Linked DNA regions of Saccharomyces cerevisiae S288C. The protein of the gene in region 4 purifies or fractionates together with the protein of the main gene of each other region. This does not show direct contact. Each region holds a gene or a part of one and is shown on either strand. Other genes may lie near its edges. The genes, in order: GID7, GID8, VID30 and GID12.

What was found.
Region 1: the proteins of GID12 (region 4) and GID7 purify together in Saccharomyces cerevisiae (affinity purification with mass spectrometry; 2 studies listed by BioGRID). This does not show direct contact.
Region 2: the proteins of GID12 (region 4) and GID8 purify together in Saccharomyces cerevisiae (affinity purification with mass spectrometry; 3 studies listed by BioGRID). This does not show direct contact.
Region 3: the proteins of GID12 (region 4) and VID30 purify together in Saccharomyces cerevisiae (affinity purification with mass spectrometry; 5 studies listed by BioGRID). This does not show direct contact.

Annotation. Positions count from the first base shown.
Region 1 is NC_001135.5:49,993-57,955, forward strand, and holds GID7 (glucose-induced degradation complex subunit GID7), read left to right. Parts: upstream 1-2,652; coding exon 2,653-4,890; downstream 4,891-7,963. Other genes in the region: protein disulfide isomerase PDI1, read right to left, coding at 1-229; YCL042W (uncharacterized protein), read left to right, coding at 592-951; GLK1 (glucokinase), read left to right, coding at 846-2,348; ATG22 (Atg22p), read right to left, coding at 4,949-6,535; SRO9 (Sro9p), read right to left, coding at 7,382-7,963.
Region 2 is NC_001145.3:536,849-544,019, forward strand, and holds GID8 (glucose-induced degradation complex subunit GID8), read right to left. Parts: upstream 3,209-7,171; coding exon 1,841-3,208; downstream 1-1,840. Other genes in the region: REC114 (Rec114p), read left to right, coding at 1-600, 717-761; ERG29 (Erg29p), read left to right, coding at 990-1,703; GAT2 (Gat2p), read left to right, coding at 4,351-6,033; DNA cross-link repair protein PSO2, read right to left, coding at 6,130-7,171. UniProt on the Saccharomyces cerevisiae protein: Component of the GID E3 ligase complex recruiting N termini and catalyzing ubiquitination of proteins targeted for degradation.
Region 3 is NC_001139.9:64,420-73,047, forward strand, and holds VID30 (glucose-induced degradation complex subunit VID30), read left to right. Parts: upstream 1-5,251; coding exon 5,252-8,128; downstream 8,129-8,628. Other genes in the region: SAP4 (Sap4p), read right to left, coding at 84-2,540; SHE10 (She10p), read left to right, coding at 3,179-4,912; OST5 (dolichyl-diphosphooligosaccharide--protein glycotransferase subunit), read right to left, coding at 8,330-8,569.
Region 4 is NC_001136.10:138,119-146,128, forward strand, and holds GID12 (Gid12p), read left to right. Parts: upstream 1-3,978; coding exon 3,979-6,105; downstream 6,106-8,010. Other genes in the region: PCL9 (Pcl9p), read left to right, coding at 173-1,087; DLD2 (D-lactate dehydrogenase), read left to right, coding at 1,404-2,996; YDL177C (uncharacterized protein), read right to left, coding at 3,091-3,603; AIR2 (TRAMP complex RNA-binding subunit), read right to left, coding at 6,366-7,400; DLD1 (D-lactate dehydrogenase), read right to left, coding at 7,708-8,010. UniProt on the Saccharomyces cerevisiae protein: Regulator of the GID E3 ligase complex. Modulates both assembly of the substrate receptor GID4 into the GID E3 ligase complex and its activity toward its substrates.

The DNA.
Region 1 (7,963 bases), on a different chromosome or scaffold from region 4:
TCTCGGCGGCTTTAACGTATTCAGGAGCCATGTTCTTACAGTGGCCACACCATGGAGCAAAAAACTCCGCAAGCACCAAGTCGTGCGACTGAATGTACTCATTGAAGGAGTCGGTGGCCAACTTAACGACAGCGGAGTCTTCAGGGGCCACAGCCTCTTGTTGGGCGAAAACAGAGGAGGCGAGCAGCAGGGAGGACCATGACAGGACGGCACCAGCAGAAAACTTCATAACGGGATAGATGTATGTTTTTCTTTATGTAGAGCTTGGCAGCTTTAAAATTACCAATTAGACATGCTGCTTGCAACAAGAAAATGCACGCGTAACAAAATATATATATATATATATATATATATGTATGTCCATACGGGTTTTTCGTTTTGTTGTGGTTGTAACAGCACAACAAAATGCTACACGGTGGCAAATTGGAAAAAGAGACTAGTGAGAGAAAAGGGAAAAAGAGGCGCCGCCCGACAGGGTAACATATTATCACGTGCAGCCCAGGATAATTTTCAGGACACGTGTTTCGAAAGGTTTGTCGCTCCGAAAAAATCAAAAAAAACAAAAAACGGGAAATAACAATAACGACAAAAATGGAAAAAAAAAAAATTTTAGACGCGGCGCTTGCACCCCGCATTATAAGTGGTGTGCCGACGGACGGTCAACCCCTTTCAGGGGGCCCCCTATCTTGGGCGTGGTGTCACACCACGCTCAAACGGTGGGCACTAATGAAAACGCGCCCATATAAATATCCGCTATCAACAGAACCCCCAACCCCCCCATCAGTGCCCAACTCAGCTTCCGTAAACCACAACACCACCACTAATACAACTCTATCATACACAAGATGTCATTCGACGACTTACACAAAGCCACTGAGAGAGCGGTCATCCAGGCCGTGGACCAGATCTGCGACGATTTCGAGGTTACCCCCGAGAAGCTGGACGAATTAACTGCTTACTTCATCGAACAAATGGAAAAAGGTCTAGCTCCACCAAAGGAAGGCCACACATTGGCCTCGGACAAAGGTCTTCCTATGATTCCGGCGTTCGTCACCGGGTCACCCAACGGGACGGAGCGCGGTGTTTTACTAGCCGCCGACCTGGGTGGTACCAATTTCCGTATATGTTCTGTTAACTTGCATGGAGATCATACTTTCTCCATGGAGCAAATGAAGTCCAAGATTCCCGATGATTTGCTAGACGATGAGAACGTCACATCTGACGACCTGTTTGGGTTTCTAGCACGTCGTACACTGGCCTTTATGAAGAAGTATCACCCGGACGAGTTGGCCAAGGGTAAAGACGCCAAGCCCATGAAACTGGGGTTCACTTTCTCATACCCTGTAGACCAGACCTCTCTAAACTCCGGGACATTGATCCGTTGGACCAAGGGTTTCCGCATCGCGGACACCGTCGGAAAGGATGTCGTGCAATTGTACCAGGAGCAATTAAGCGCTCAGGGTATGCCTATGATCAAGGTTGTTGCATTAACCAACGACACCGTCGGAACGTACCTATCGCATTGCTACACGTCCGATAACACGGACTCAATGACGTCCGGAGAAATCTCGGAGCCGGTCATCGGATGTATTTTCGGTACCGGTACCAATGGGTGCTATATGGAGGAGATCAACAAGATCACGAAGTTGCCACAGGAGTTGCGTGACAAGTTGATAAAGGAGGGTAAGACACACATGATCATCAATGTCGAATGGGGGTCCTTCGATAATGAGCTCAAGCACTTGCCTACTACTAAGTATGACGTCGTAATTGACCAGAAACTGTCAACGAACCCGGGATTTCACTTGTTTGAAAAACGTGTCTCAGGGATGTTCTTGGGTGAGGTGTTGCGTAACATTTTAGTGGACTTGCACTCGCAAGGCTTGCTTTTGCAACAGTACAGGTCCAAGGAACAACTTCCTCGCCACTTGACTACACCTTTCCAGTTGTCATCCGAAGTGCTGTCGCATATTGAAATTGACGACTCGACAGGTCTACGTGAAACAGAGTTGTCATTATTACAGAGTCTCAGACTGCCCACCACTCCAACAGAGCGTGTTCAAATTCAAAAATTGGTGCGCGCGATTTCTAGGAGATCTGCGTATTTAGCCGCCGTGCCGCTTGCCGCGATATTGATCAAGACAAATGCTTTGAACAAGAGATATCATGGTGAAGTCGAGATCGGTTGTGATGGTTCCGTTGTGGAATACTACCCCGGTTTCAGATCTATGCTGAGACACGCCTTAGCCTTGTCACCCTTGGGTGCCGAGGGTGAGAGGAAGGTGCACTTGAAGATTGCCAAGGATGGTTCCGGAGTGGGTGCCGCCTTGTGTGCGCTTGTAGCATGATCTTTTTACATTTTTTTGGTTTGTGTACGTATCCCACCGTACTTACCATCTTCTCTCCTTTATATATATATATATATATGTATATTTTCAGTGTATATACATACATTCTTATACAATACCGTATAAGAACGTATGTATGTATGTATGATTTTCTCACATTAATGAACAATATCATCGGAAACGGGCCTTTGGTTTTTAAGGGAAAATGAAGAACAATAAATGCCTTGCTAGGTCTTCCTTTATCATTTTTGGAAGTCAAATATGAAAAACACTTCCAAGGGGGCGTACTACTTCAACTAATAAAATGTCACACACTAATAAGATCGCATACGTGTTGAACAATGACACGGAGGAAACAGCCTCGCCCTCTTCCGTTGGTTGTTTTGACAAGAAACAGCTCACTAAATTACTGATACATACTCTAAAGGAGCTGGGCTACGACTCCGCCGCTAACCAGTTACTGCTAGAGAGCGGCGGATATCAAAATGAGTCTAACCACATCCAGACTTTCTTCAAACTCATCAAGACCGGCCAATTCCATCTTATTAATTGGCAGATTGTTTGCTCGCTGCCCCTTGCCCATAGCTCTCCGCTAAGGTCCGAATGGCTTCAAAGGCTGCTCATTCCCACGCCGACGCCCGCCACGACTTCACTTTTCGACCACATGCTCCTGCAACTGCAATACCTGCAACAGCTGATGAGCTCTGTAAATTCATCTACTTGTTCGGACGCAGAGATCGCCACGCTCAGAAATTACGTAGAGATCATGATTCTAGTTAATAGACAAATATTCCTCGAATTCTTCCATCCAGTCACAAATTCCGCCTCTCACAAGGGCCCTCACACTGCACTGCCCGTCCTGTATTTGCGCAAAATCCTCAAAAACTTCATCGAGATATGGGATTCCCTGCTGGTGTCTAACGATCAGTTCCTAAATGAAGAAAACATCTTCAATCCGGAAACGACCTTGAGAGAACTGTCGACGTACCTGACCAACCCAAAACTAACCGCGCAGTTGAACCTCGAGCGAGACCATCTGATTGACGCCATCTCCAAATATATCGATCCGAACGAACTCGTTCCCAAGGGTCGTCTCTTGCATCTCTTGAAACAGGCCATCAAGTATCAACAATCACAAGACATTTTTAATATCATCGATCCGGATGATGACGCCTCTTTCTCCTCTCCACCCCACCGGATCAACCTTTTGCAGGATAACTTCTCACACGATCTGACTGTGACCTTTCAAGAATGGAAGACTATCCAAGACACCACAGACGAAATTTGGTTTTTGACATTTTCGCCCAATGGCAAGTATTTGGCTTCTGCGACTTCCGAGTCTTCAAGAGGCTACTTCATTACTGTTTATGATGTGGAACAAGACTTCAAAATTTATAAGACTTGCGTGAGCTTGTCACAATCCGTATTGTACCTCATGTTTTCTCCTGATAGCCGGTATCTGGTTGCTTGCCCTTTCAGCGAAGATGTTACCATTTACGACATGAATGCCACCTCCCTGCCCGATGCGTCTGCCACAGACTCGTTCCTACTATACCCTTCTACCAGGCTCTCGCCCATGGACTCGTTTAAACTGGACACCACCACGTACCCAGATGATACCGAATCATCAGCATCATCTTCCTCGAGGCCGGCAAACGCGAATTCTAATCAATCAAGAGTATGGTGCTGCGATGCCTTCCACACTGCGGAACGTGCGGGCTGGATGGTGGTTGGATCGCCCGACAGAGAAGCTATTGTACACTCACTCACCACGAAAGAGTCACTTTTTAGCTTAAAAGGCAGGACTTGTATCGCGTTGGGCCACGATGAAAACATCTCTGGGAGAAAATCAATCGATCCTGCAAAAGTCCTTTACAAACCAACAAGTAGCAATGGTAACTGGCAATATGTGGAGGACGACGAAACCTTTCCACGTGTGCACGACGTGAAAATCAGCTATGACGATAAATACGTGCTTTTAATGACCCACCAGGGCGTTATAGATGTCTACGATTTCAGTGGGTTCCCCTCCAAAGAGGAGCTATCTAAGCAAACAGTGGATCCCAAAAACTTTCTGATTCCAAGGATCGCAAGATTGGACGTGGGCAAAAACATGACTTGTATCTCATTACCGCTAAATACCACGCATCAAGGCTTCCATAGGCAACAAATATCCGAGTCTCAACATTTGGTATTAGTTAGCCTTCAAGATAACGAATTACAAATGTGGGACTATAAAGAAAATATTCTCATACAAAAGTACTTTGGACAGAAGCAACAGCACTTTATTATCAGATCTTGCTTCGCCTACGGTAATAAGCTTGTCATGAGCGGATCAGAAGATGGTAAAATTTACATTTGGGATAGAATTAGAGGTAACCTAGTATCTGTTTTATCCGGTCATTCCACGGTAATGAGTAATTCCACAAAACCCATGGGGAAAAATTGTAACGTAGTTGCATCAAACCCTGCAGATAAAGAAATGTTTGCTTCTGGCGGTGATGACGGTAAGATAAAAATCTGGAAAATTTCAAGAAATTAATACTCCACCTTATATATATACGTAAGCAAAGTTTTATGTAACAAAAAAAAAAAAAGAACTAATCCAACCTTCTTTCACTTTCAGGTAAAACTTGACTGAGTTCTTCAGCCTCTCTTCTACCTCTCTTGACATCCAAACAGTTTAGCACAGGCAATGATAGCATCAAAAGCAAAAAGAAGAAATAAAACGAATAGCGAATATTATGCGTTTTATCGGTAAGCAGTCCAACAAGGAAGGGTCCCAGGATGGACGACCCCTTATCTGTGATACTGAACATACTAAAAAACGTGGATTCTTTTCCTGGAGGTACAATCAAACTGAAAACTGATCTTGAAACCGCGGACAGGCCACCTAGTGATAATCCATACCAAATGGCCAATAAGAACATTTCAAACTTATGCTTTAAACCGAACGCATTGAAGAAAAATCCAAGAATACCATAAAATGGTATGAAACTTGCCCAAATGATAATGTACATCAAAGTTTGACTAGAAGTCCACCGAAACTTTGTGGCAAGAAATTGTGGAATCATAAAGGCACCCAGCATTGCATTTACAACGGTCAAAACACTTATCATGATTAAATTGAGGGTACTCATGTGCAGTTCTGCCTTGGAGAACAAAACCGCTGTAGAATTTATAGTTGTAATGGAATCACTAATAATAAACCACGCAATAAGAAAAATCATCACATCTTTCAATAGTCTGGCATGTTTAAACGATTCGAAAAGCGAAACCCAACCATATGAAAGGTAATTCTTCCAGTTTAGTTGACCCAAGGCGTCTTGCTCACCGGGATACGGACTGCGGGCGGATGCTAATGTAGAATCGTCAACTCTTATCGGTATTGTCACATCGTCAATCAACCAGATCATGGGCAGTTGCCACACAAACCACCAAATCCCAACGAAAAGAACAGCCACTTGAACATCCTGCTTACTGCCCTTTTTAGATGCGACTAAGAACATAGATACAATCTGAACAATGAGGGCACTTGAATAACCTAAAGATGCACCTCTACCGCTAATAACAGTAGTTAACGAGTCTACCTTATCAGGTTCATAAGCTCCTTGACTTTGACATTTCAAAGAATCCTTGACAAAAATGGGCAGAAGAGAATTCCCAACAACATTGATAACGCCAAAACAACCATTGGCCACTATATAAAGCCCAGCCAGAGAATAAATCTGGGTATCATTCAATTTTGAAATCGCAACAGTCGACAATGCGCCCACAATACCAAACCAAACCAGAATTCTGCCTTTGAATTTAACGCTCCCCCAGAGATCTACTATCCCTGAAACGGAAATGACTATTATAGTTTGGAATAAAACGCTAAGGGAAAAGACATATAATGCAAAACTTGAAGTATCTACGAAGATCCGATTGTTGAACAAACCAAGAACACACTTATCTGAATCACTACCCGTTTCTGACAGGCAGGGTATGGAGTGATCGTGAACTTTTACACCATTTATACTCGCAAATTGCTGCAGTAGTAAGGGAATATACGTTGAAACCGCAGAAACGACAAATGGTTCGCTAGAAAATGAGTAAGCGTACCATCCCTTGATATTGTTTTGGGCTTTTTTTATTCGATAGTTCGTTACCGATTCATTCATATCATTTATAGTTCCATAGCTCATATCTAATGTAGAGAATATGTTATGAGCAAACTATTGCTTATAAGGGCAAAAACCGTGGTAATATAGGTACAGTTTGAAATCTTTCCTTTTGTTTACACTACGCATCTTTCAATAGCTGAGGTATTTTCGTTTAGGAAAATACCGTTTTAAGGAATTAATTTTAGCAATTTCCTAAAATTGTTGAGCGGCGCTATCAATGCCGCACAATACAACAATTAATAATCTAAGACACGTTGCATTATACATGACAGAAGCTAAAGCATGGTCTTAGATGACAATAAAAAGGAATTTGACAGCACAAAAGAGAAAAAAAAAACTATACATAAAATTTTTTACATATGAATTGCTTAGAGTAAAATAGGCATTTTTCATATCTTCTTCCCAATTATTAAATTAGCAAAAAATTGAATAAAAAAAGCAGGTGGTTTAAGAATTGCGCAGGGAGAAGAAAGAATATCATATCTCATGATGGTAGCCACTTAGACAGAGAGAAAACGAAGTGAGAAGAGGCTAGTATTTTTATATCTTAAAAAAAAAAAAAAACAAAAAAAAAAAAACATAAATATTTGTATCTTATTGCTTATGATGATAATGTACAATGAATTCAAAACATGAAAATTGTTCAAAGTTTTTATTTTTATTTTCTCTTTCGTATTAAACTGATGGAACAAATGAAAAAAATGGATAAAAAAACAAAAAAAAAAAAAAAAACAAAAAAAAAACAGCTTTGCTGGAGGATGATTAACTTTTAATTTTTTTAATTATTAGGTTTTTCAATTTTTTATGGTTTTTTGTGTAAAATGCAATGAACGAATCCATTTTTTATTTTGCAAGTGTGAGAGGCCTTTATAAGGAAGACTCGGATTCACCGGCAGCAACCGGCGCAGAGTCTTCTTTGGTTTCTTGTTCTTGAGAAGCGAGTTCAGTGGATGATTCCTCTTCTTGTTGAGGAACAGGTGGTAGGGATATCATGAATTGGTCCAATGCATCGCCGACCAGTTCTTTTTCAATATTAATTTCAGTTTCAAAAGTTTCTGGTAACCAGTTTGACCAGCTCTTGGAACGAACGAAGTACTTATCCAATGGAGATGGTTCTTTGGCTTCACCGGTAACGTTATCACCTTCCTTGGCGGCCAAAGTACCTTCTGCAACATTGACGGTAGCGGCTTCGTTAGCGACAATTTCTCTCAATGCGGCTAAAATCAGGTTAGTGTCACCTCCGAAGGACATGTTAACAACTCTGTAAAACTTAGAGATTAAAGACAATGGAGCAAAACCATCCTTGGAGAGTTTGGACCTTAAGTAATTGTCGACGGTCAAGTTTTCTTCGCTGAAATAGTATTCAATTTGTCTAGCAATGTTGTTGATGGCCATTAACACTGGTTGGACTGGATAAAACTGTTGCTGTAATTTGACCATAGGTTGTTG
Region 2 (7,171 bases), on a different chromosome or scaffold from region 4:
CAACAAATATGGCCAAACACGGATTTAAATGTAGTACAATCTTCACAAGACCTCAACACTCCAATGGCTACGCAAACTGTTTTGGGTCGTCCTGAGTCGCTAATTGTACAGCCATTGGAGGTTTCTCAATCTCCACCAAACACTACCAACTGCCTTCCTAATGCAGAAAACAAAAAGAAAAAAGTCGACACCACTTCTGATTTTACTTCAAGAAAGGAGATTGCTCTGTGTAAAACTGGTTTATTAGAAACTATTCATATACCAAAGGAAAGGGAAAGTCAGATGCAAAGCGTCACTGGTTTAGATGCAACACCAACGATTATATGGAGCCCCGGGAAAGACAACACGGCGAAGAAAAATACCAGTAATAAGAAAAATATTGATGATAAACTAACAAACCCCCAAAAATCTGGAAATACACATACCCCTGATAGAAATAAAGAAGTGCTACCTAACGGCACACTTAATGAAACGAGGAAAGAAGCATCGCCAAGCGAAGGATTAACGATAAGAGTTAAAAACGTTAATCGGAATGCGTCAAGAAAAATATCTAAGCGGCTAATCAAGGAAAAGTTGAAAGACGAAGAATTCATGAAATGGGTATGTATGCATTTGCAAGAAACTGAGCTGTTTCCCCCTCTTATCCACTCATTTTCTCTGACTTGACAAAGAAATACTAACTAACAACTTTTGCCACTACAAATATGAATGAAAAGGTTAATAAGGTTGAAACGGTTCTCAATAAAATGTTCGAAAAGTGAACCCTTTTTTTGCAATTCCTTTTTACACTAGCCACGAAGTAAAATGGAAAAGTAAACCCGAGTTTCGGCAATATCGCTAAGCAAGAAGAGCAAGCTCGTTTAAGTAAGCCTTTATGAAAAAAAAACAAAATATAAAGCATTATAAAAATTGAATCACATCGCAAATCTGCAATATACTTGGAAGTGTTTATAGCAAAGTGTGGTATAGAAAAAGAACCAAAGGCCGGTATGTCGTTAAAGGATAGGTATCTAAATCTCGAATTAAAATTAATAAATAAACTACAGGAGTTGCCATATGTTCATCAATTTATCCATGATCGAATAAGTGGTAGGATAACTCTCTTTTTGATAGTGGTTGGTACGCTTGCATTTTTTAACGAACTGTATATAACGATCGAAATGAGTCTTCTACAAAAGAACACATCAGAAGAACTAGAGCGTGGAAGAATCGATGAAAGTCTGAAGCTTCATCGGATGTTGGTGAGTGATGAATATCACGGTAAAGAATACAAAGACGAGAAAAGCGGTATTGTTATTGAAGAGTTCGAAGATCGCGATAAGTTTTTTGCAAAACCTGTGTTTGTATCAGAATTGGATGTCGAATGTAATGTTATTGTAGATGGGAAAGAACTTCTGTCCACCCCATTAAAATTTCATGTTGAATTTTCTCCAGAGGATTATGAAAATGAAAAAAGACCTGAGTTTGGTACTACCTTGCGTGTATTGAGGCTGAGACTTTACCACTACTTTAAAGATTGCGAAATATATCGCGATATAATTAAGAATGAGGGCGGTGAAGGGGCAAGAAAGTTTACGATTTCCAACGGTGTCAAAATTTACAATCATAAAGATGAACTACTGCCATTGAATATCGATGATGTTCAATTATGTTTCCTGAAGATTGATACGGGAAACACGATAAAATGCGAATTCATACTATGAAAGCTTCCAAAAAAAAAAAAGAAAAATCAATTGCTAAATGCATACATGCAGGTAGGCACACACACACACACACACACACACTCACTCACACATGCACACGCACACACACATATATAAATATATACGTACTATGTATGTCAGTTTTCGACCCTAGGAACCCCTATTTGGTTGTGATGAAGCTGATTTTCGCACCAACACCACAGTTTCATTATCTGCGTCAATCTTGGTTCATAGGGAAATTCGGAAGAGTAGTAATTATTGAATTCTAAACCTTTTTCCTTTCCATTTGAAGAGGAAAGCAATTCAGAAGTTTGATTCCAGTAATTTTTATTTTCTAAGTTATGAAAAGTTGTCGCCGCTGAACCTGTGCCAACATTTCCATCCCTTTGATTTAGCCAAACTGAATTAGCAGCAGCCGTGACCTCGTTGCTTGACATCTTTTCGTTGATAGGTTGGTCAGACGAAATGTGAGTTATTTTTGTACCATTTGAACCATTGACGAGATTGTTGTTATACACCGTGAAGTTCTGCGTAATTATTTTCTTGTCGGAATTTAACAAATCTGGAAATTTGGAATTATTATTGCTGATCTCAAATTGAATCCTTGGATGAATAAACTTCAGCAGCTTCTCATTAACCAGATCTGCTATCTTAGATCTTAGAGATATCGAGTACAGATTTTGTAACGATTTGGGCAGCTTAATGCTGCCGCTGTCCGCCGAATCTGACAAGGGGAAAAGCAGCAGAGTCATTGCTAATTCTAACTCTTGCATCTTTTTGACACTTGACGAAGCCTTTATTGCAAGTTTATTTTGAGAATACTGAATTAGATTGAGTATAAAGTCGTTGGAATCCTTGGTGATGTTCTCCTGTTGATGGTGACTTCTTATCATCTCGATCAAATTCAGTAACAGCAGTTTGAAGTGTAAATCTCCATCTATGTCAAACTGCTGCTGCTGCTGCTGCTGCTGCCTGTCAGTTCTACCCGTATAACTTCCCGTAGCATTGAAAGTCTCTTCCAGCACCTCCAGCCCGAAGATAGAGTTTATCTCCTCCATCGCCTCATTGATACGCCCCAGCTTAATAAGATGTTTGATATGGAAACGCTCCTTGATCTTGTACAAATCATTGAAAACCGCAATGTCTTTGTTGTTCCGTATAAATCCCAGCTCCTTGGCCATCCTAATGCTCGAGTCTTCATATGCCATAGAAACAAAGTAGTTCAACAGAAGCCGTGGCAGTGTGGGCTCTATGGGTGTGGTCTGTATGGTAGCAAATCCCTCGTCCTGCGAGCCGCCACTGCTGTTGGGCTGAATTTTCAGCGGATAATGTATTGTCTTATTTGCATATAGCTCGCCCATGGCAGAATACTTGGCCACCTGCTCCTTCCATTCTTCCTTCGTGAAGCACTTCTTTCCATACGTAAAGTCTTTCCCACCATTCTTGCCTTGGCCGCTGCAAGATCCGCTCTTCGTGGTCTCGTTACTAAGAGTAGATATAGTCATTTCTATTTGTTACCACACACAAATATATCTTCATCCGGCTGATATTTGTCTCTACTGCCCCTTTGCTTGCAATTTAATGACCAAATTACACATGTTAGCTTCAAGAAAAATGATGTACCATCAAAATGTCTCCTGCAACGAACCGGGGCACCGCGCCGGCAGAGTCAGGAAAGCGAGATCGACACTGATAGTGATAAACAGCAACACAATGGAGCGATTACCATTCACTCGGAACGGATCCGGACAACAGTCAAATAAACTCCGGGATCCCAAAAAGGGCCGTACACACAAACCCAAGCCGAGCGAAAAACACAAAAAAAATAAAACAGGGAAAAAAGGAGCGCAAGAGAAAACGCACAGGAGTAGGAGCAGCAGAAAGGGGAACTAATATGGTTTTTCCGTTTGCTTATTTTTATTTTTTTGTTGAGTCATGGGCACGTCACCGCACAACAGCCGCCGCAGGCCTGTACCGCTACGCGTCTATCACTGCGAAACATCGCTACTTCTGTCGCCGCGTCGACGCTGGTCCAGACCACAAAAGGATGCACGATCAGAAGCACTGTACCCTGCAGAGTTGGAGATAGTGTAACCGTGACTTCATTTTTCAAGCGTGGTTTCACATTCTTTTTGCACCGCCCTTATCTCAGATATAGTTTCGTTCGGTTGCTTTGCTTTCCCCAACTGAAGGTGCTGGATGGCGGTTTTTCCGGCTGCTGCGATTTTCCCTGCGCGGGGCCCGGCGCGGAATTGTGCAAAAGCTAAAACTCAACGGTTATTTTGAAATATAAGGTTATAAGCAAATTTCCTAAATTTGCTTAATTGTTAATGCAGTTGTTATTGCATTAAGACATTCGGCTATCGTTTCCTTTCTTCGTGTCGGCAATCTTGTATAAAAGTTATTTTTTGAGTTTCAGTTTCTTGTATATCTTGGTATATATTGAAGGAGGATTTTTTCTTTCCTGGTCCTTTTACTTCCTTGCGTCCCCTCATATTTCTTCTATTTCCGTTCACGGCGTTTTTTTATTTTCTCCATCTACTTTTAGTGATTTCCTTTGCTCTAATATTGTTTTCGTTCATAGTGAATTGTTTGTTTTCACTTTAATAAAGGGCTTTTACGACTTGTCTCAAAAAATTTCATCGAGATGCAAGCCCCCAATATCTACCCCTTCTCTCAAACACAGCCACAAGCACTGCCCGGGTTCACATACGGTCCTCCACAACTTGTTTTTGACCATTCTGCTCCGAGAGTAGATCCTTTGCATTCTACTGTAACTATAAATTCTCCATTACCCTTGCAGCATTATAATGGACCGAATGCCCATATAAACAGCGCAAACAACAACTACGCATACTACTATCATCATCCCAACAATAATGATAACAACAACCATAGTAACAACACTATAAAAAATAACAACATTAATTCTGTTCTTCCCGCCGTTAATATTCAAATATCCAACAACTCACATTATAGAAATACACACCAAATTCCTTCTGCTCCTCAGCGGCTGGTCAGCATCATACCGGATCCCCACATGCCGCCCAATATTTCTCACTTTCAGCTAAATAATATTCACCCTCAAATGCATGCTCCTGTTGCTACTGATATTCATTTCCAACAAGTACCAGTTTACAATAAAACCAATAATGGCATTGGTACTGATAACATTAATAACGATAAACCCGTAAACTCGAATCAGAATGAAGTGCTGGACAATATTGATGAACGTTCCTGTCATGAAATTAACAGGGTAGTTTCATTTTCTAAACATTTTGAAAACAACGAACTTACCACTACAGCAAATGATCTAAACATTCAATCTACTATGGATGAATTAGCTAAACTGAAATCTTTATCAAATTCTACCCATTTCAGGCAGAGTATTGCTACTCAGAATTTCCATTCTTTACAAAATCATATCACAACCATCGAAAACCGTCTGGCTTCTTTACTTACTGACAGACAACAAGAGCAGCAACAGTTGAAGCAGCAAGAGTCTGAAAAGGAGAGCTCTTCACCGTTTTCCAATAAGATAAAGTTACCTTCCTTACAGGAATTAACTGACTCCATCTCCACCCAACATCTTCCAACATTCTATGACAATAAAAGGCATGCTTCGGATACCGATTTAAAGAGTAGCACCTTACATGGTCCATTATATCACCGTCACGCTTTTCTTTCAACCTCTTCTTCCTCACCCTCCCCCACGGCCGGTTCCGCGCCTCTTCAAAAGTTACAGGTTCCAAGACAAGACGATCCAAACGATAAGAAAATGAATATTTCATCATCTCCCTTCAATTCAATAACCTACATTCCAAACACTACGTTATCTCCAATGGTGCAAACGCAGTTAAAGAACTTAACCACTTCTAACCTCAACACGAAAAAGAAGAATAACAGAGGCAGACCAAGAGCTATTCAGAGACAACCCACGCTGACCACTTCCAGCCATTTCATCAATAATTCCAATCCTGGTGCTGCTGCAGTTTCAACGACAACTCCCGCCGCTAATAGCGATGAAAAGAATCCTAATGCAAAAAAAATCATCGAGTTTTGTTTCCATTGCGGGGAGACCGAGACTCCAGAATGGAGAAAGGGACCATATGGCACAAGAACTTTGTGTAATGCCTGTGGGTTATTTTATAGGAAAGTCACCAAGAAATTTGGCTCAAAAAGCAGTAATTTGTTGTTAAGATATAGAAGATCTATTGATTTAGCCAACGATCGTAGAATTCCTGATTTTATCACTATTCCAAACAGGTTTATTCATGATATGGATAATGATCAAACGTTGGACTCTGAGTATAATACGATATTGCAATAATATAAAATCATACATTCATATAATATCCATTACGTACGTACATCTTACATAACACATTTTTACCCCCTTTTCTTTTTTTTGTTTTCCTTTTTTGTTTTATTTAGCCGCCCGCGTTTTCCTAACGTTTTCCCAACATTGAAACCAATTCGTCATATACCTCACTTTCCATAAATTGTTTAGATTCACAGTGGGAATGACTTCAGAACACTTCAATTTACAACCAAATTTCACTAAATCGTTAAAACTACTGTGTTCAGAATATGGTACGTTAAAAACTTGAAATTTGTTGTACTTTTTGTATTGCCTCAATATACTCGAGATTTCAAACCCATTCTCATCATCATTATCTCGATCATTCTTCATTAGTTCTAAGCAATATTCTGTATTGCCACTCATTTCATTCTCATCATCATCGTTTTTCTTTTGATATTTTAAACCAAAATTGTGACTCCACCCGGTAGGTATAAACCCGACAACATCTTCAATGTCTTTCACATAGTCTGTTTCCAATTCTTTTAAACTTTTCAAGTAAGCTTCTATGGTTTCTTGACTTTTCAACACTCTTATAGGTACCAAATGTACGGATGATTCATGTAAATTGCTGGTGAGTAAGCTTTCGTCCCACATGTCATTTTGATTTTCGTTGTTTTGTAAAACTGTTAGCATCATTGAAAATTTAACGGAATTCGGCATAACAAATAATTTTGTTTTCAAAAATTCACATATCTTGATGGCTAGCTTCTCTTTTCCAATAGTATATGTTCCCACAAGAAATAGGACCCTGTAACGATGAGTTGTCAATGTTTTCTTTCTCTGAAAGTGAAAAAGGTTCCTTTGTGAATCTCCAAATGTTTTGTTTTTACCATGTTTTATAAGCCGTAATGTAAAATCAGCCACAGTCTCGCACACAGAATGTTGTGAAGGAAAGTTGTATCCCATAGTCATATATGTTGTATCTAAATAAACTTGGTCAATAGTTTCATTCGCTGTCTCGGCCAACCACTTCTGAATTGTCTCAATCATTTTGGCGTTGCTTCGAAAATCCCCCGTGTGAAGAATTTGTCTTATAGGCTTATCATACGAATTTGCCAGAAACTCCTGGAAAAGCATTATTATTGCACCGGGACAATGGTTAGCG
Region 3 (8,628 bases), on a different chromosome or scaffold from region 4:
AAATTAAATAAGGCAAAACGAGAAACAAAATATTAAAAATGTAGGAAAAAAAAAGTCAAAATTGGTTTGACGACTTAACCTAATCAATTTAAGTCGGAATGATGATCAACAATAACATCTTTAATTTTATCATGAATATCTAATTCGGTTAATTGACCCAATTCATCTATGAGCTCGGCAACTTTATCATGCAACTTAACATCCTCCTCGTGAACAATTTCATTCTCATCCATTGTGGATGGATGAGCTGGTTTACTCATATCAGCTTTTTCCAAAAAGTCCTGGTTAGTATTTTCATCGCTTTCGGCACAGAACTGGCCTCCACCAAGAATTATTGAACACATTGTCCTTGTTTCGTTCAAGATGTCACTAGAATATGACATCCAAACTTCATCTTGTAAGAAGGCATATATATCTGGAGCAATTAGATCGGTCTTATAAATTTTGGAATACTTCGCAATTTCTTCGGCAATTAATACTAATTGACCCATATAACCTAAATTTGTTTTCTCTTTTTCGTAAAATTCAAACGAATCCTTGTGGCCTTGTAAAATGAAATCAGAGATAATATGGAAGTCTTTAACAGGTAACTTTTGGTTGCTGCCGTACAAAGGTTTTGGGATAAATCTTGTAGACTTTTTGAAATCAAACAAAGAATAGACCAAAAATGAGTTATAAGAAAAATCCATTCGACCATTGAATATCTGCTGAATAATATCAAATACAATGTTGTGCCAAAAGTTATTCCAAGGATATCTTAAGAATAATTGTAGAAACTTTGGAAAAAACCCAAGGTCATGAAGTTTAATTTTGAATAAATCTCCAATGGTAGGGTTTTTACGTATTTTCAAATTTTGCGTTTCACTGACGTAAGGAATTTCAAAACTCATATCATCATCATCATCAATATTGTCATCAGATGTATCAAAAGTAGAATACAATTCATTATCATGAAACTTTTTTTTAATATTTTTTTTTTGTTTTTGGTTGTCATTACTGTCATTACTATCATTATTATTACATTTATCTTCTAATGTATTGGAAGTAATAGTATTATCATTTATATTTAAATTTTTCATGGCTTTCTCTAGTGAGTTTTGATCAAGAGTGTCCCTGCATTTATCTCTGGTACGTGCTATTTTTTCGCCTCTTTTTGAATTCATCAATCCCATATTTGAACAGTGTAACATTTCCGATATCAATTCTGTAATCTTGACTCTTTCAAAGCCCAAAGGCCTGAATGATTCATGCAATTGGTTTTCTAGTAGGTGATGCTTAACAGATGGAAGAGCTTTTGAAGCAGTGTCATGATCATCGTCATCATCATTTTCAAGTTTAATTAGTAATGCATAAAAATCTTCCATATGCATAGTGAGCTCATATAACAAATGGCCCAAATAGACTGGATCTCTTTGAGAAGGCGGATTGTCTACTATGGTGGTACTTAACAAATCTACTTCGTCATAGTCGGAATTATTCTTCCTGATCAACTCAATTATAATAGATACGGCAACTCCCATTGCATGGCCTCTTTGAAATAAGATTATATTAATAAGTTGGTCGACATATTGCGGAGAGGCAAGCTGTCTTGTCAATCGGTTAGGTCCGATCCACAAAGTATCCAGTTTAAAATTGGTGGAAATGCTGATCAGTGCTTTTAGAAGCTCTCCGCTACTGTTTTGAATACCAGGTGAGTATTTGCTATTTTCCAAGAGATTCAAACACTTAGGTATCAGATCCTGGTGATACAAGAAGTCAATAATGTTCGTAGGTGATTCAACTTGATCAGTCAGCATGATTTTAATGAGAAATTCAACCAAGGGTGAGACTTCAATATGATATAAGAACTTGTCCACAATGTTCGGTTGCGATTTGAAAAATTCCAAATAGCTAGATGTCTGTTCAAACAGAAGAGTTTCGTTAATCTTAAGGAAAACAGCCAAGATAGGACAATTTTCTGCCTCAATATTTTCAAACTGGAAAACCTCGAACAGAGAGGACAAAAATGGGGTATTTTGCACGAGTGCCTCCACTATGGGCGCACTTTTCGAACAAAAAATACTGGAAATAATGTTGACATACAGCATTGGGTCTTCATCGTCCTGATCTTCATATTCACCTGTTTGATGGAATGAATTCTCTAAAAGAAATGGGGTTCTATAACCAGTGCGGTCTATGTCCTTCAGGTAAGCCATCAACATGTCCACTAGGTAGTCCATGTGGCGGACCTGCTGGGAACGGTCGTCATAGAAATATCCCAAGCAAATGAAGTCGACGAGTCTGTCGTTGGCTGCTCCATTCAGTTCATCCAGCAAAGCTGTTTCCAACAAGATCCTATCAATAAATGACTGGTTAAGGTCACTCCTATCCCGAGACTCGGTACCAAATTCGGACTCTGACTCCATAGAAGGCTCATTCTTCTTGTCGTCAGTTGAAGAGGTCTCATTTCCCTCCAAACTACGAAAAATTAGATAGTACTCTTCAAGTATCGAATCAATTCCGGAATGACTCAGCGTCTCTCCAAAGGGCCATAGTGACATATTTTTATTTTATTTTAGCTTTATCGAAAAGCAAGAGAGCAGTAAACTGGACGGTATAGAAGAAAAGAGAACTTAATAACAAAAGACCAGATTGTCTATAACTTTATCTCACACCAAATACCAGGTTGTCCTTTTCCCGCTGGGTGAAGCAACCGTTTCACTTATTCGCACAATCCAATTAGTAGAACACAACACAACACAACACAACACAACACAGCACAACACGCTTACCAAATTATATTTACTACGGCAACCAAAAACCGACAGAATAAAAAACAGCCATCATACGTGGATGAACTCTTGGTTTATTGTCTGTTATTATCCTCGAGAGTTCTTATTTAGGGGATTTAGGGCTGGCATCAATACCCTAACTAAACCCTGAACTGCCCAAGGAACAATTTTCAAAAGTAAGAAATGTCCTATACGTTTCTATGTATAACCCTAAGATAGTCAGGTTTCGGAAATAAGGCGGATTTCTACGTACATGATGATAATCATGTATCAAAGAAAGGATCAACTTGAAGAACAGCCTTAAAGTAAGCGTAATGGGCATTCTGTTTCAACCACCATTTCTGAAGTACTTTATATCTTGGATGCACAAAAGCTGTTACATCTAAACAAGAACGCAGCGTAACGAAATGGGAAAGCTGATAAAGTTAATCACAACTCTGACGGTGTTGGTATCGTTGCTTCAGTACTGTTGCGAATTCAATAGTGGGAGCATATCGTGTGAACGCACGCAAACGCTTTGCCATTATACCAATCCAAGAGTCTGGAACACCTACTTTTCAAGAAATTGTGAATTATACAAAAATAAAGTTAGTCCCGGTTTCGATATAGTGGCGCGTAAATATGACACGGCTGTCAAACCTGTCATCGATGACGCTACAGTAAAAGTGAACAAGGTCGCTATACAGCCTGCATTCAAGGTCATCCATTCACAATGTAAGAAATGGAACTGTGGAAAGTATTACCAATTGGTCCGCTCCCCAATGGTCAAGACTAGACGATTTTTCTTCGCAAAATACAATGCTTTTGTGAAACCTAACTTAGACAAATTCTTTACTGCGGAGTTTCGCTCTCATTTGAAGGAAAGAATTTTAAAGTATAAAAATATAGGCCATTATTACTTTACTATCACTTCAAGATGCATCAAATCCAAATACGACTTTATTGTTGGTAATACAGAGGAAAAATTAATGGGAAAGTTCAAGAATAAGGACACGCATGGCATTCATGGTTCTGTCACACGTGAGCCTTCCTCGGAGGACATGGTTTTAACCGTAAGTACTATGGAGTCTGACGAAGAGGAGCTAACTACAACAAGTACTCAAACAGTGGTTGAAACAATTACTTTGGACCAGGAAGAGGCTAGCGCTGTTGCTAATCATGCGCACGACGATGAGGCTTCCACAGACGTTGAAGGCTCCACAGACGTCAATGTCAATGAACAGGCTCTGTTGCAAGAGGATTTTGACATGTGGAGTGAGACTATATTGCAGAAAACACAAGACGTCATACAGCTATTTGAAAAGGATGTTTCCAAATACATCAATGGTAAATTGGTTGAGGAGGCCAACCATTTTAAAGCCAAGTTTCAATCTTTAGATGATAAATCTAAGAAGTTCTTCTCCAAGATTTCGCTAGCCATTAACGATATTGAATGTGTGGAAGGCATTGATAGTGAAACTGGCAAGAAAATTTTCTTCGATAAATCTGGAAGTACTGAGATTTCTCAGTACATAACGAGAGAGTTAGTTCGTGAGTACTTCAACGAGACGCGCTCGACGTTAGACGAACTGACAAATGCTATGGAGAAAGATTTGAGCGAAATCACTGATGAAATTGAAAAAAAAGTTAATGCAATTAGAGAGGAAAACGTCGAGGTATTTGAAGAATGGGGTGATATCATTGTAAATGAATGGTCCAAAAGAATGGCTTATGTGGATGTTATCAACGCTCACATGGGTGCAGATGATGACACTACGCTTGATGAAGAGAAAGCAAAGTCTTCTGTTAACTGGAAGAAGTTTTTGAAGGGCAAGAAACAGATCATAGAATCTAGAGACAAGCTGGCTCACCATTCCGCTGACTTATCCCGTGTTAACGCGTTTAGGCAAAAAGTGCAAAAGAAGATATTATCGTTCACTCAAGAGAGTGGTGAGTTTTTGTATATTCTAAGATCGAAAGCCAACCTGCAATTTCAGGAACGTGAAAGAAAGGAACGTGAAAGAAAAGAGCGTGAAAAAGCTGCAGCAGAAGAGTTCCAAAGGCAGCAGGAGCTATTACGACAACAGGAAGAAGAAGACGAAGAAGACGTATCCTACACCTCTACTTCGACCATCACCACAACCATTACCATGACATTGTGATGAAATTCATGCGCTTGCTATACACACACACACACACACACACACACACACACACAATATCTATCTATATATATATGTATGTTCTTTATTGTTTGTCTTTACCTTTATATATAAACATATATAGCCATATAAGAATATAATATTACCACTCCACTGTATTTTGTATCCTGCCTATTTTTGCTAGATTACAGGACGCGCGAGCCTTTCAGGGGAGGGAACTGATGAATCGATCAACCAAAAGAAAGAGCCAAAGGATTGGACCAGAACTGTTACTGTTATAGCAGAAATATTAGTAGTACGTTAAAGCCAAGCGTCGAATTTCAGCATAATTAAGAGGAAATGTCTGAATATATGGATGACGTAGACCGCGAATTCATTAACTGTTTGTTCCCGAGCTACTTGCTGCAACAGCCTGTGGCTTATGATTTATGGATTTTATATTTGCAACATAGAAAACTCTTTCACAAACTGAAGAACACTAACTTAATCAACGCTGATGAAAATCCCACTGGCGTTGGAATGGGCAGGACAAAGTTAACTGCTTTAACAAGGAAAGAAATCTGGTCTAAATTGATGAATTTGGGTGTTCTAGGCACAATTTCGTTTGAAGCTGTCAACGACGATTACCTGATTCAAGTCTATAAATATTTCTATCCAGACGTTAATGATTTTACTTTGAGATTTGGTGTTAAAGATTCAAATAAAAATTCAGTGCGAGTTATGAAAGCTTCCTCAGACATGAGGAAAAATGCTCAGGAACTATTAGAACCCGTTTTATCCGAACGTGAAATGGCGCTTAACTCTAATACCAGCCTGGAAAATGACAGAAATGACGATGATGATGACGATGATGATGATGACGATGATGACGATGACGATGACGACGACGACGATGAATCCGATCTGGAAAGCTTAGAAGGGGAAGTGGATACTGACACGGACGATAACAACGAAGGAGATGGCTCTGACAATCACGAGGAAGGTGGAGAAGAAGGAAGTAGAGGAGCTGATGCTGATGTGTCCAGTGCACAGCAGCGTGCCGAAAGGGTTGCGGACCCATGGATATATCAAAGATCTAGATCAGCTATTAATATAGAAACAGAATCAAGGAATTTGTGGGATACATCTGACAAGAACAGTGGTCTACAATACTACCCCCCTGATCAGTCTCCAAGTTCTTCCTTTTCTTCTCCTAGAGTATCGTCTGGTAACGACAAAAATGACAATGAGGCAACAAATGTTTTGTCCAACAGTGGTAGCAAAAAGAAAAACTCAATGATCCCTGATATTTACAAAATACTTGGGTACTTTTTACCTTCTAGATGGCAAGCTCAACCAAATAACAGCTTGCAGCTATCTCAAGATGGTATTACTCATTTACAACCTAATCCTGATTATCACTCATACATGACTTATGAAAGATCAAGCGCTTCTTCTGCCTCTACCAGAAATAGACTGAGAACCTCTTTTGAGAACTCTGGGAAAGTGGACTTTGCAGTCACTTGGGCAAATAAGTCATTGCCAGACAATAAGTTAACTATATTCTATTACGAGATTAAAGTTCTCAGTGTAACGAGTACAGAGAGTGCTGAAAATAGTAACATTGTTATCGGATACAAGTTAGTAGAGAATGAATTAATGGAAGCGACTACAAAAAAGAGTGTTTCTCGTTCAAGCGTGGCCGGTTCTAGTAGTAGCTTAGGTGGTAGTAATAACATGAGTTCCAATAGAGTACCTTCTACTTCTTTCACTATGGAAGGTACTCAAAGGCGTGATTATATTTATGAAGGGGGCGTTTCAGCCATGTCTCTTAACGTGGATGGTTCCATAAATAAGTGTCAGAAATACGGATTTGATCTTAATGTATTTGGCTATTGCGGATTTGACGGTTTGATAACTAATTCTACAGAACAATCTAAGGAATATGCTAAGCCTTTTGGTAGGGATGACGTTATTGGTTGTGGCATAAATTTTATCGATGGCTCAATTTTTTTCACGAAGAATGGTATCCATTTAGGTAACGCATTCACCGACTTGAATGATCTAGAATTCGTCCCATATGTGGCCTTACGACCTGGGAATTCTATCAAAACAAATTTTGGGTTAAATGAGGATTTTGTATTTGACATTATTGGATATCAAGATAAATGGAAGAGTTTGGCGTATGAGCATATTTGTCGTGGACGCCAAATGGACGTTTCAATTGAAGAATTCGACTCTGATGAAAGTGAGGAAGATGAAACTGAAAATGGGCCTGAAGAAAATAAATCAACAAACGTTAATGAAGATTTGATGGATATTGATCAAGAGGATGGTGCCGCTGGTAATAAGGATACAAAGAAGCTTAACGATGAGAAGGACAACAATCTGAAGTTTCTTTTGGGAGAAGATAATAGGTTTATAGATGGAAAGCTAGTTAGACCAGACGTGAACAATATTAACAACTTAAGCGTGGATGACGGTTCATTGCCTAATACATTAAACGTGATGATAAATGATTATTTGATCCACGAAGGATTGGTGGATGTTGCAAAGGGGTTTTTGAAAGATTTGCAAAAAGATGCGGTTAATGTCAATGGGCAACATTCTGAAAGTAAAGATGTTATCAGGCACAATGAAAGACAGATCATGAAAGAAGAACGTATGGTAAAGATAAGGCAAGAATTAAGATACTTGATAAACAAAGGTCAAATTAGCAAATGCATCAATTATATCGATAACGAAATTCCAGATCTGTTAAAAAATAATCTAGAATTGGTATTTGAGTTAAAACTAGCGAATTATCTGGTGATGATTAAAAAGAGTTCATCCAAAGATGATGACGAAATTGAAAATTTAATTTTGAAGGGTCAAGAATTATCTAATGAATTTATCTACGATACTAAAATTCCACAATCTTTGAGGGATAGGTTTAGTGGACAATTGAGTAATGTCTCTGCATTGTTAGCATATTCCAATCCACTTGTGGAGGCACCAAAGGAGATATCAGGATATTTGAGTGACGAATACTTACAAGAGAGATTATTTCAAGTTAGTAACAACACAATACTAACATTTTTACATAAGGATAGCGAATGCGCATTAGAGAATGTAATATCAAACACTAGAGCTATGCTTTCTACATTACTTGAGTATAACGCGTTCGGTTCAACCAACTCTTCAGATCCAAGATATTACAAAGCTATTAACTTCGACGAAGATGTGTTGAATTTATGAGCATAAAACAAGCACCTTCAAACAACAAAGCCATGTGATATCAGTCATTATCTTCCCAAAAATCGCATATTAATATGTCTTAAACCGTTTATATAATGAAATTTACTTGACACCTTTCTTTTTAATATTCTCATCCAAAATACTTCTTAAGTATAGTATATAATTTCATCGATAATTCCTTTATAGGCCAACGAAGAGCCACTAGACGTAGACACCGAAAGAATTCGAAGCAAAAACAGTGGTCAAGCCAGCAAACAAGCTGCCAATTACACTTAAAATTGTGTAGAAGAAGAGTTTCTTAATGTATGAAGATTTAGAACCGACGGCGAACAGGGCAGATGATAATACAGCTAATGTAACGATTAAACCACAAATTGCAAATTTTGGTTGAGTGTCTAAGTGGATAAATGGCTGGAAGCTCTTTGAGGAATGGAACTCTTTCTTAAGTGATTACACAAATGCCGAGAAGGCGAATTGGCTATACTTGTTAGTAATTATGA
Region 4 (8,010 bases):
TGTCTCTTTGCTTCTGTATTTAAGCATTTGGGCAGCTTGCGGTCAGTAGAAGAGTGCATCGACATTCATAGATCTCTAATAACATATATTTAAGTGGATATACGCAAAGAAAGGACAAGAAAACTTGTTTCGGTAACAGCATTATTAATTCTGAAGAAATACGCACAAAGAGATGATTTCTGACTACGATGCTCTTTTGCAATTCAACAAAAAACCTGTTTCGCAAGAAATGATTCAGTTCTTAGCCACTTCTACTGCTTCCATAATTAAAATCAGGGAAAATAATAATCCAATCCAAGGATGTCGCCCACCAGACTTATCTATCTTCATTAAAAACGTGGTAATTCAGTCAAATGTTCAAACACCAACTTTAATGGCCACATCAGTTTATTTAAACAAACTGAAAAGCGTAATACCAAAAAATGTGTACGGTATTAACACCACAAGACATCGGATATTTCTCGGATGCTTGATATTAGCTGCCAAAACTCTGAACGATTCTTCTCCCTGGAACAAACACTGGACCACGTACACAGAAGGTTTACTCAGAATACGTGAGGTGAATACCATCGAACGAGAACTATTAGAATATTTAAATTGGGATGTGAGGATAACTACACCGGATTTGATTGATTCTCTTTCTTACTTCCTCGGGCCTATCAAGGAACAACTATTTTTACAAAGGAGACAAGAAATGCTGTTGTTCAATGCACCAAGTCCCGGCCAACTGAAAGAATATATAAATCATAGAAGACCGGTTTCGCATTCTAGAACTTCTTCTGCTATATCGGTTCCTTCACTGACATCCATGGCAACAGTTTCGACAACAGACTCAAGGTCTTCTCTACTGGCAAAATACCAACCGTCCCTACCGTTGGTGGAATCTGACAACTTCAACAAAAAAAATCATGTGCCGTTAAGGAATAATAACGATATCTGTAATAATTTCAGGGCAGAGGAAAACATACACTCAGTAAACCATATTGATGTAACAATGGGAAGTTCACCAGTAATGTCGCATAAGCCCACAATTCACCAACGGTTAAATTTTACAAGGAGGGGCTGGTCATCGTTTTTCAAGCAATAATTCTAAGTTACTCGCCTTTTACAAGCTCTATAAATATTCTTTTCCGTTCTTTAGTTGTCTTAACTTTGTACAATATGAATAACCATCGTTTCTAGGCTACTAAAAAAACACCATACTACATAAACAAATATCTAATAATGAATACTCTTGGCATTCGTCTTGTTTCTCGAGGAATATCGGCCGAGTTTTTTTCATTTTGACAGGTTATATAATTCAAAATCTATCTGACTCTGAAAAAGTGGTAATAAATGCATTGACAACTTCTTCTCTTTATTTTACAGACATTAATCCAGCACTACAAGTGGCATATAACAAGATGCTAAGAAACATTTTGGTGAGAAGTACTGGCAGCAATTTCAAATTTGCTGGCAGATATATGAAATCATCAGCTCTTTTAGGATACTATAGAAGAGTTAACTATTATTCGACCAAGATACAAACCAGACTGACTAGCGAAAACTATCCAGACGTGCATCGAGACCCTAGATTCAAAAAATTAACGTCCGATGATCTAAATTATTTTAAATCTATTTTATCGGAACAAGAAATATTAAGAGCCAGCGAATCAGAGGATCTTTCATTTTATAATGAAGATTGGATGAGAAAGTACAAAGGACAGTCCAAGTTAGTATTGAGACCTAAGTCAGTGGAAAAAGTTTCTTTAATCTTAAATTATTGTAATGATGAAAAAATTGCCGTTGTCCCACAAGGCGGTAACACGGGGTTGGTAGGTGGTTCTGTGCCCATTTTTGATGAATTAATTCTATCTTTAGCAAATTTAAACAAAATAAGAGATTTTGACCCTGTATCAGGTATCTTGAAGTGTGATGCTGGTGTAATCTTGGAAAATGCTAACAATTACGTAATGGAACAAAATTATATGTTTCCGTTGGATCTGGGAGCTAAAGGTTCCTGCCATGTTGGTGGCGTGGTTGCAACCAACGCTGGAGGACTAAGGTTATTGCGTTATGGCTCACTACATGGAAGCGTTTTAGGCTTAGAGGTGGTAATGCCCAATGGTCAAATTGTTAATAGCATGCATTCCATGAGAAAAGACAACACCGGTTATGATCTGAAACAGCTGTTCATTGGCTCAGAAGGTACTATCGGTATCATCACTGGTGTTTCAATCTTGACTGTTCCTAAGCCAAAAGCGTTTAATGTATCTTACTTGTCTGTTGAAAGTTTTGAAGACGTTCAAAAAGTCTTCGTCAGAGCCAGGCAAGAATTATCTGAGATTTTATCCGCTTTTGAATTTATGGATGCTAAATCTCAAGTATTGGCCAAGAGCCAATTGAAGGATGCTGCCTTCCCTTTGGAGGATGAGCATCCATTTTATATTCTTATCGAAACGTCAGGGTCAAACAAAGATCACGATGATTCCAAACTTGAAACATTTTTAGAAAACGTCATGGAAGAGGGCATAGTAACGGATGGTGTAGTGGCACAAGATGAAACCGAACTCCAAAACTTGTGGAAGTGGAGAGAAATGATTCCAGAGGCAAGTCAAGCTAATGGTGGTGTTTACAAATACGATGTTTCTTTACCACTAAAGGACCTATATTCTTTGGTTGAAGCCACTAATGCAAGACTTTCTGAAGCTGAATTAGTGGGTGATTCGCCCAAACCAGTGGTGGGCGCCATTGGATACGGTCACGTGGGTGATGGTAATCTACACTTAAATGTTGCAGTTAGAGAGTACAACAAGAACATTGAAAAGACTTTGGAACCATTTGTCTACGAGTTTGTTTCCTCAAAACATGGTTCCGTTAGTGCCGAACATGGGCTAGGTTTCCAAAAGAAAAATTACATTGGCTATTCTAAGAGCCCGGAAGAGGTCAAGATGATGAAGGATTTGAAGGTTCATTATGATCCTAATGGAATTTTAAACCCTTACAAATACATTTGAAAATAAAATGCCAAGTTTTATAGTTATCTACATATGTATATATTTATCAATATTATATTCTACAATTGTGTATATTATATGGTAAGGGTGATATTTAAGGAAGAAATCCACCCTTCTTTAAGGTTTCCACTGCACATGTTGAAATGTGTCTGAATCTTGATGAGCCCAAAGGCGTGCCACCATACCATCTGGTCACTATTACCAAGACGTTGAATATGTTTGCTCTTTCAAGTAAGGTCAATAAACGCTGTCCAGCACCAGCTTCGCCACAGTCAGCACATCCTTGCTCAATGTTCTTTGGCTGCACCGTTATGTTCCTTGACTTGTTAACATGACTATTATTACTCTTATTTGCTTTATTGCCCTTCTTTTTCTGCTCTTGTTGTAAGTGCAAATTATTTGATACCTCGGCCGTTCTCCAGGCATACATGTGCATGTGGGATGCCTTGGAGACGCTTTTGTTGTTTTGCGTTAGTTCTTGGAGTATGGAGGGTATATCCTTTTGATTTTGTAATGGGCAACATCTTGCTTGAAATTTCGATTTTCTATCAACTAAAACTTCTGATTCATTCCATATTTTCACTAGCTTACCAACATTCTTACTCATTTCTCCAAAAAATAGTAATACCAAACATCAATACCTATCTAAGAATCTGTATAATGTCTTTTCTAAAGGTTTTTTACAGCTGATGATTGATGCATGACTTATTTCCACAGTGCCGTATTTTCTCAGTTGCCGTTTTGGGTCTGCTTTTCACAATGCGAAGCTTTGTTGAAAAGAGCTCTAAGGTCAAAAACAATAGTAAGCTGATCGGTATTAAGTACTTGCCTTCCTGAAAATTGCTAACAAACATCCAAATATACCTTCCCCATAGTTGAATGGCATCTAATAGAACAAAACCAGGTTAAGATAGGTTTTACTTTGAGTTGTTAAATACACGCAGAAAGCGTCTTTCCACATAATCTGAACATTTTGTTATCGATGGCTACTGGCAGGATTCAATTTGCTGTTTCTACTCCCTGCAATACTAAGGGTAAACCGTCTGGTTATAGGTTATTTGAATTTAAAAACGATCGATTAGCACTGGTCCCATCAGAAAGAGGTTGTACAAAAGTAGATGTGAATGCAAATATACAAGCGTTTTGTTATTTAAGGCCTAATGGTAGAGACACGTCAATATCTCCAGACGCAACGCATATTTTGGACTCATGTGATTACATGGTGCTGGCTAAATCCAACGGATTCATTGAAATCATAAGCAACTATCAATACAAGATAAAAAATGGCCTGCGATTAGCGCCCTCTTATATCCTTAGATGTACTCCGGAAGATTTCGAATCCAATTTTTTTAGTGACTATATGATCGCTGGTCTTGAATATAGTCAAGGTTTATTATATTGTTGTATGTGCTCCGGTCGAATATATGTCTTTGTAATGAACCTTCCCACTGATTACATTCAGTATAAGAACATGTACAACCCCATGTTTCCAGATTGCTTTTTCAAAGTACATCACGATAATAATACAACACATTCTTCAGAAGAAGAAAAATTATTTGAAGGTAGTACGCGGTACACTGGAAGGTCATGCTCTAAGCATATCTGCTACTTCCTTTTGCCTATAGAACCATCCCATTTAAGATCGTCACCCGTGGTATCTTCGTTTTGCAATATGTATCAAGGCCTGCCCATATATAGGCCTTCGATGTATTTACATATAGAACGAGGTATTTCCACATTCCATATAAATCCATTAGACCGGTTTTGTTTCATGACAGTATCGCCACGATCACCACTATTTATAAGGAAAATAATTTTACCATTGACTTATGTTACATTTTTAAGCACCTTTATCAGCCTAAAGAACAGTATACAGGGAGATACATGCGGTGAGATACTTTCGTGGGACAACGTAGCGCAACAAAATGGATTTGGTTCTTTGTTCAGCTGGATTAGTAACAAGTTTACATTCGATACGGATATTATAAATTCAACCATTTGGGATGATATTGTAAAATATTCTGGAACAGGAATGCTGGATTCAGGAATCGTCTGGAAACAGCGTCAAGGTCACGCTAAAGATGACATATATGAGTTATTCCACACTCAAGATATGCTGGGAAGTAGTCGCCGAAATTCTTCATTCAGTACTGCTAGCAGCGAACCGAGACCGCTGAGTCGAAGAAGGAGAGAATCTTTTCAAGCCTTAACTAGAGACGCTTTTAGAGAAAGAATGGATGTACCCTGTTCAACGAAGTGGGAATTAGATTCTTTTATCCGAGGATTAAGAAGGAATACATTTATGGTAGATTTTGAAATTGTTGAAAAGATTTCTCATAGAAATGGAAATGATGGGGTGAATGAAGATGATAACACTACAGATGAAAGTGATGAAACAATGACTTCTTTTCTAACAGATAATTACAAAAAGATGGACATTGTGTGCATCGATCATTTCGTCACGTTGAGTGCATTCCGACCTCGGTACTATGATGAACCAATAATTAAAATCGATTCATTATCGAACAAAAATGGCTCTGAAAATGGAACTAATGAAGAAGAGTGGGCAGAAAGTCAAATGAAGGTGGATGGCCAAGTGATAGATGATGAGACAGCTCAATTCAAGCAGGCATTGGGAAATTTATGTTCATTCAAGAAATTATTTATGCTGGATGATTCTTTATGCTTTATATTGGACACACATGGAGTTTTGTTGATAAATAGATTTGAAATAAAAAATACCAAAAATTTGTTAAGGAATTCCAAGGATACTATTCGGATAATACCCCATGATTTCGGATTGATTAATGATACAATTGTTATAATTAATGATATAGACGTAGGCACAGACAATGTTTGCGCCCTTACGTTTCACTTGGTGGTAACATCAATGGCAGGAGAGATAACTGTTCTTAAAGGCGAATTTTTCAAAAACTGCAGGTTAGGAAGAATAAAACTGTGCGATTCACTAAAGCTAAATAGAAAAGATCGGTTTGTCGACAAACTTGCTCTAATCGATTATGACGGTTTAAATGCACAAAAAAGAAGGTTAGATTACGATGAAAAGGACCTTTATACATTCATTGTGAAAAAGGTAAAAAGAGACTAAATTGAGTTGCATAGATGTTAGCCATAATAGAAAATAGCGTATGAGGTAGCAGGAGTTATAAGACGTATTTACGTATATGTATGTATATGTTATTATTATTACCTGTGATTGCACGAAGGCCTTTTTTTTTCACAACAAGAAGATGTAAGAAATTTACATGCTATTTTGATTAATGGTCGAATTAGGTATTGTCTTTAATCTTTCATTAAGAAAATATAATGTAACCAAGAACAGCTTGTTAAAGGGCTTCCTATTTAAAGTTATCTTCTTTTCCCCAAGGTACCACTCCTATATGGTTGATAAGAATTGTAGTTTCTGTAATTGGAAGAGTTGGAAATGCTGTTATTATCAACATAAGTAGAAGGGTTATATCTGGAGCCATACATATTCTCCGATATCGACGAGACGTTTACTTTTGTATTTTGATACCGTGAATTTTTACTAATATTATTATTGAGTGACAGCGTCTCGCCCCTTATAGTTGGTTGAATGACATTAGACTTTTGATAAGGAGGAGGATGGAAGTTCGATGCTCTACGTTTATTTCTGCCACTATGAGAGTGATCGTTTTGGGAATGTCTTTTATGGGAAGGTCTCGGTAGTGGATCCTCATCGTATATGGACTCACTAAATTGATAGTCTTCATTTTCGTCCGAATTTCTGTTCATGTGACGGTAATATTCCTGTTTTAGCTCAACTGACAAATTAGAACCAGTGAACGCACTTCCATCCTCGTTAGGTACTCTAGATGATCGTTTTTCCTTGCAATCATCACCAAAGTGCCCCTTTCCACCGCAGTTATAACAGTATATAGTATGAAAGGGAAGGACCTTGGGCTTAGCCTTTTCATTATCATCTACTAAAATATATGCTCTCCATATACTAGGACATCTTTCTTTTGAGTGTTTCTTACTCTTACAAAGAGTGCACTGAACTTTTTTCCATTTATGTGGACATTGTGACCTGTAATGACCCACCTCATCACACTTTGAACACTGGATAGCCTTCGGACAATGTCGAGAATAATGATCATCCGTCGCCCCACAGTACGAACATATTATATGGGGACAATCCTTCTTCAAATGACCTCTTTGAGAGCAATTATTACATTTAGGTGCTGCCTCTTTAATGGCATCCTTGTCATCATCGCTTACGCCAAAATATCTACCCTGCCCTCTAAGAGCTCTTAATTCGTTGGGATTACTATTTACTTCCTCTATAGAAGGTGCTACAAGTTTATCTGGAGGAGTTGTGGGTGCCGTATCGACGACAAATGGTGCCGTATTTTTTTCCATGACTGCGAGGAAGTGATGTAAGCTGCTATCGTTGTACAGGTAAGGTTTAATTCTCTCTGATGCTGCCAATAGTCATAACTTTTTTCGAAATGTTTCTTCCCATCCCATTAGTGTTTGAAGGAAAAAAAGGCACTACCCGGATCATGAATACATTTGATGGTAATAATATATATCACATTTTTAAGCATGTATTAGCTACTGGGAAAGGGCATTTTGAAATGGTATGTTTTCTTTAAGGATGAACTATATATATTACATGAAATATATTTCAGGTTTACGTGAAGGGTGAAAAAGGAAAATCAGATACTCACCTGTAATCATTAGCGGGCTCGTTTGGATCAGTTTTAAAGATTTTGTCCGGGTTCATGATTCTCTTTGGGTCAATAGCTAGCTTAATCTTTCTCATCAAATCGACGGGTGCTTCACCTAATTCTTCGAGCAAGTACTCTCTTTTACCAATACCAACACCGTGTTCACCCGTGCAAGTGCCTTCTGCGTTCAGTGCTCTCTTGACCATTCTGTCAACAAGTTGGCTACAGGTTTCGTGTTCTTCAGGGGTTCTGTAGACGATGAATGCATGGAAGTTACCATCACCTGCATGACCAACAAT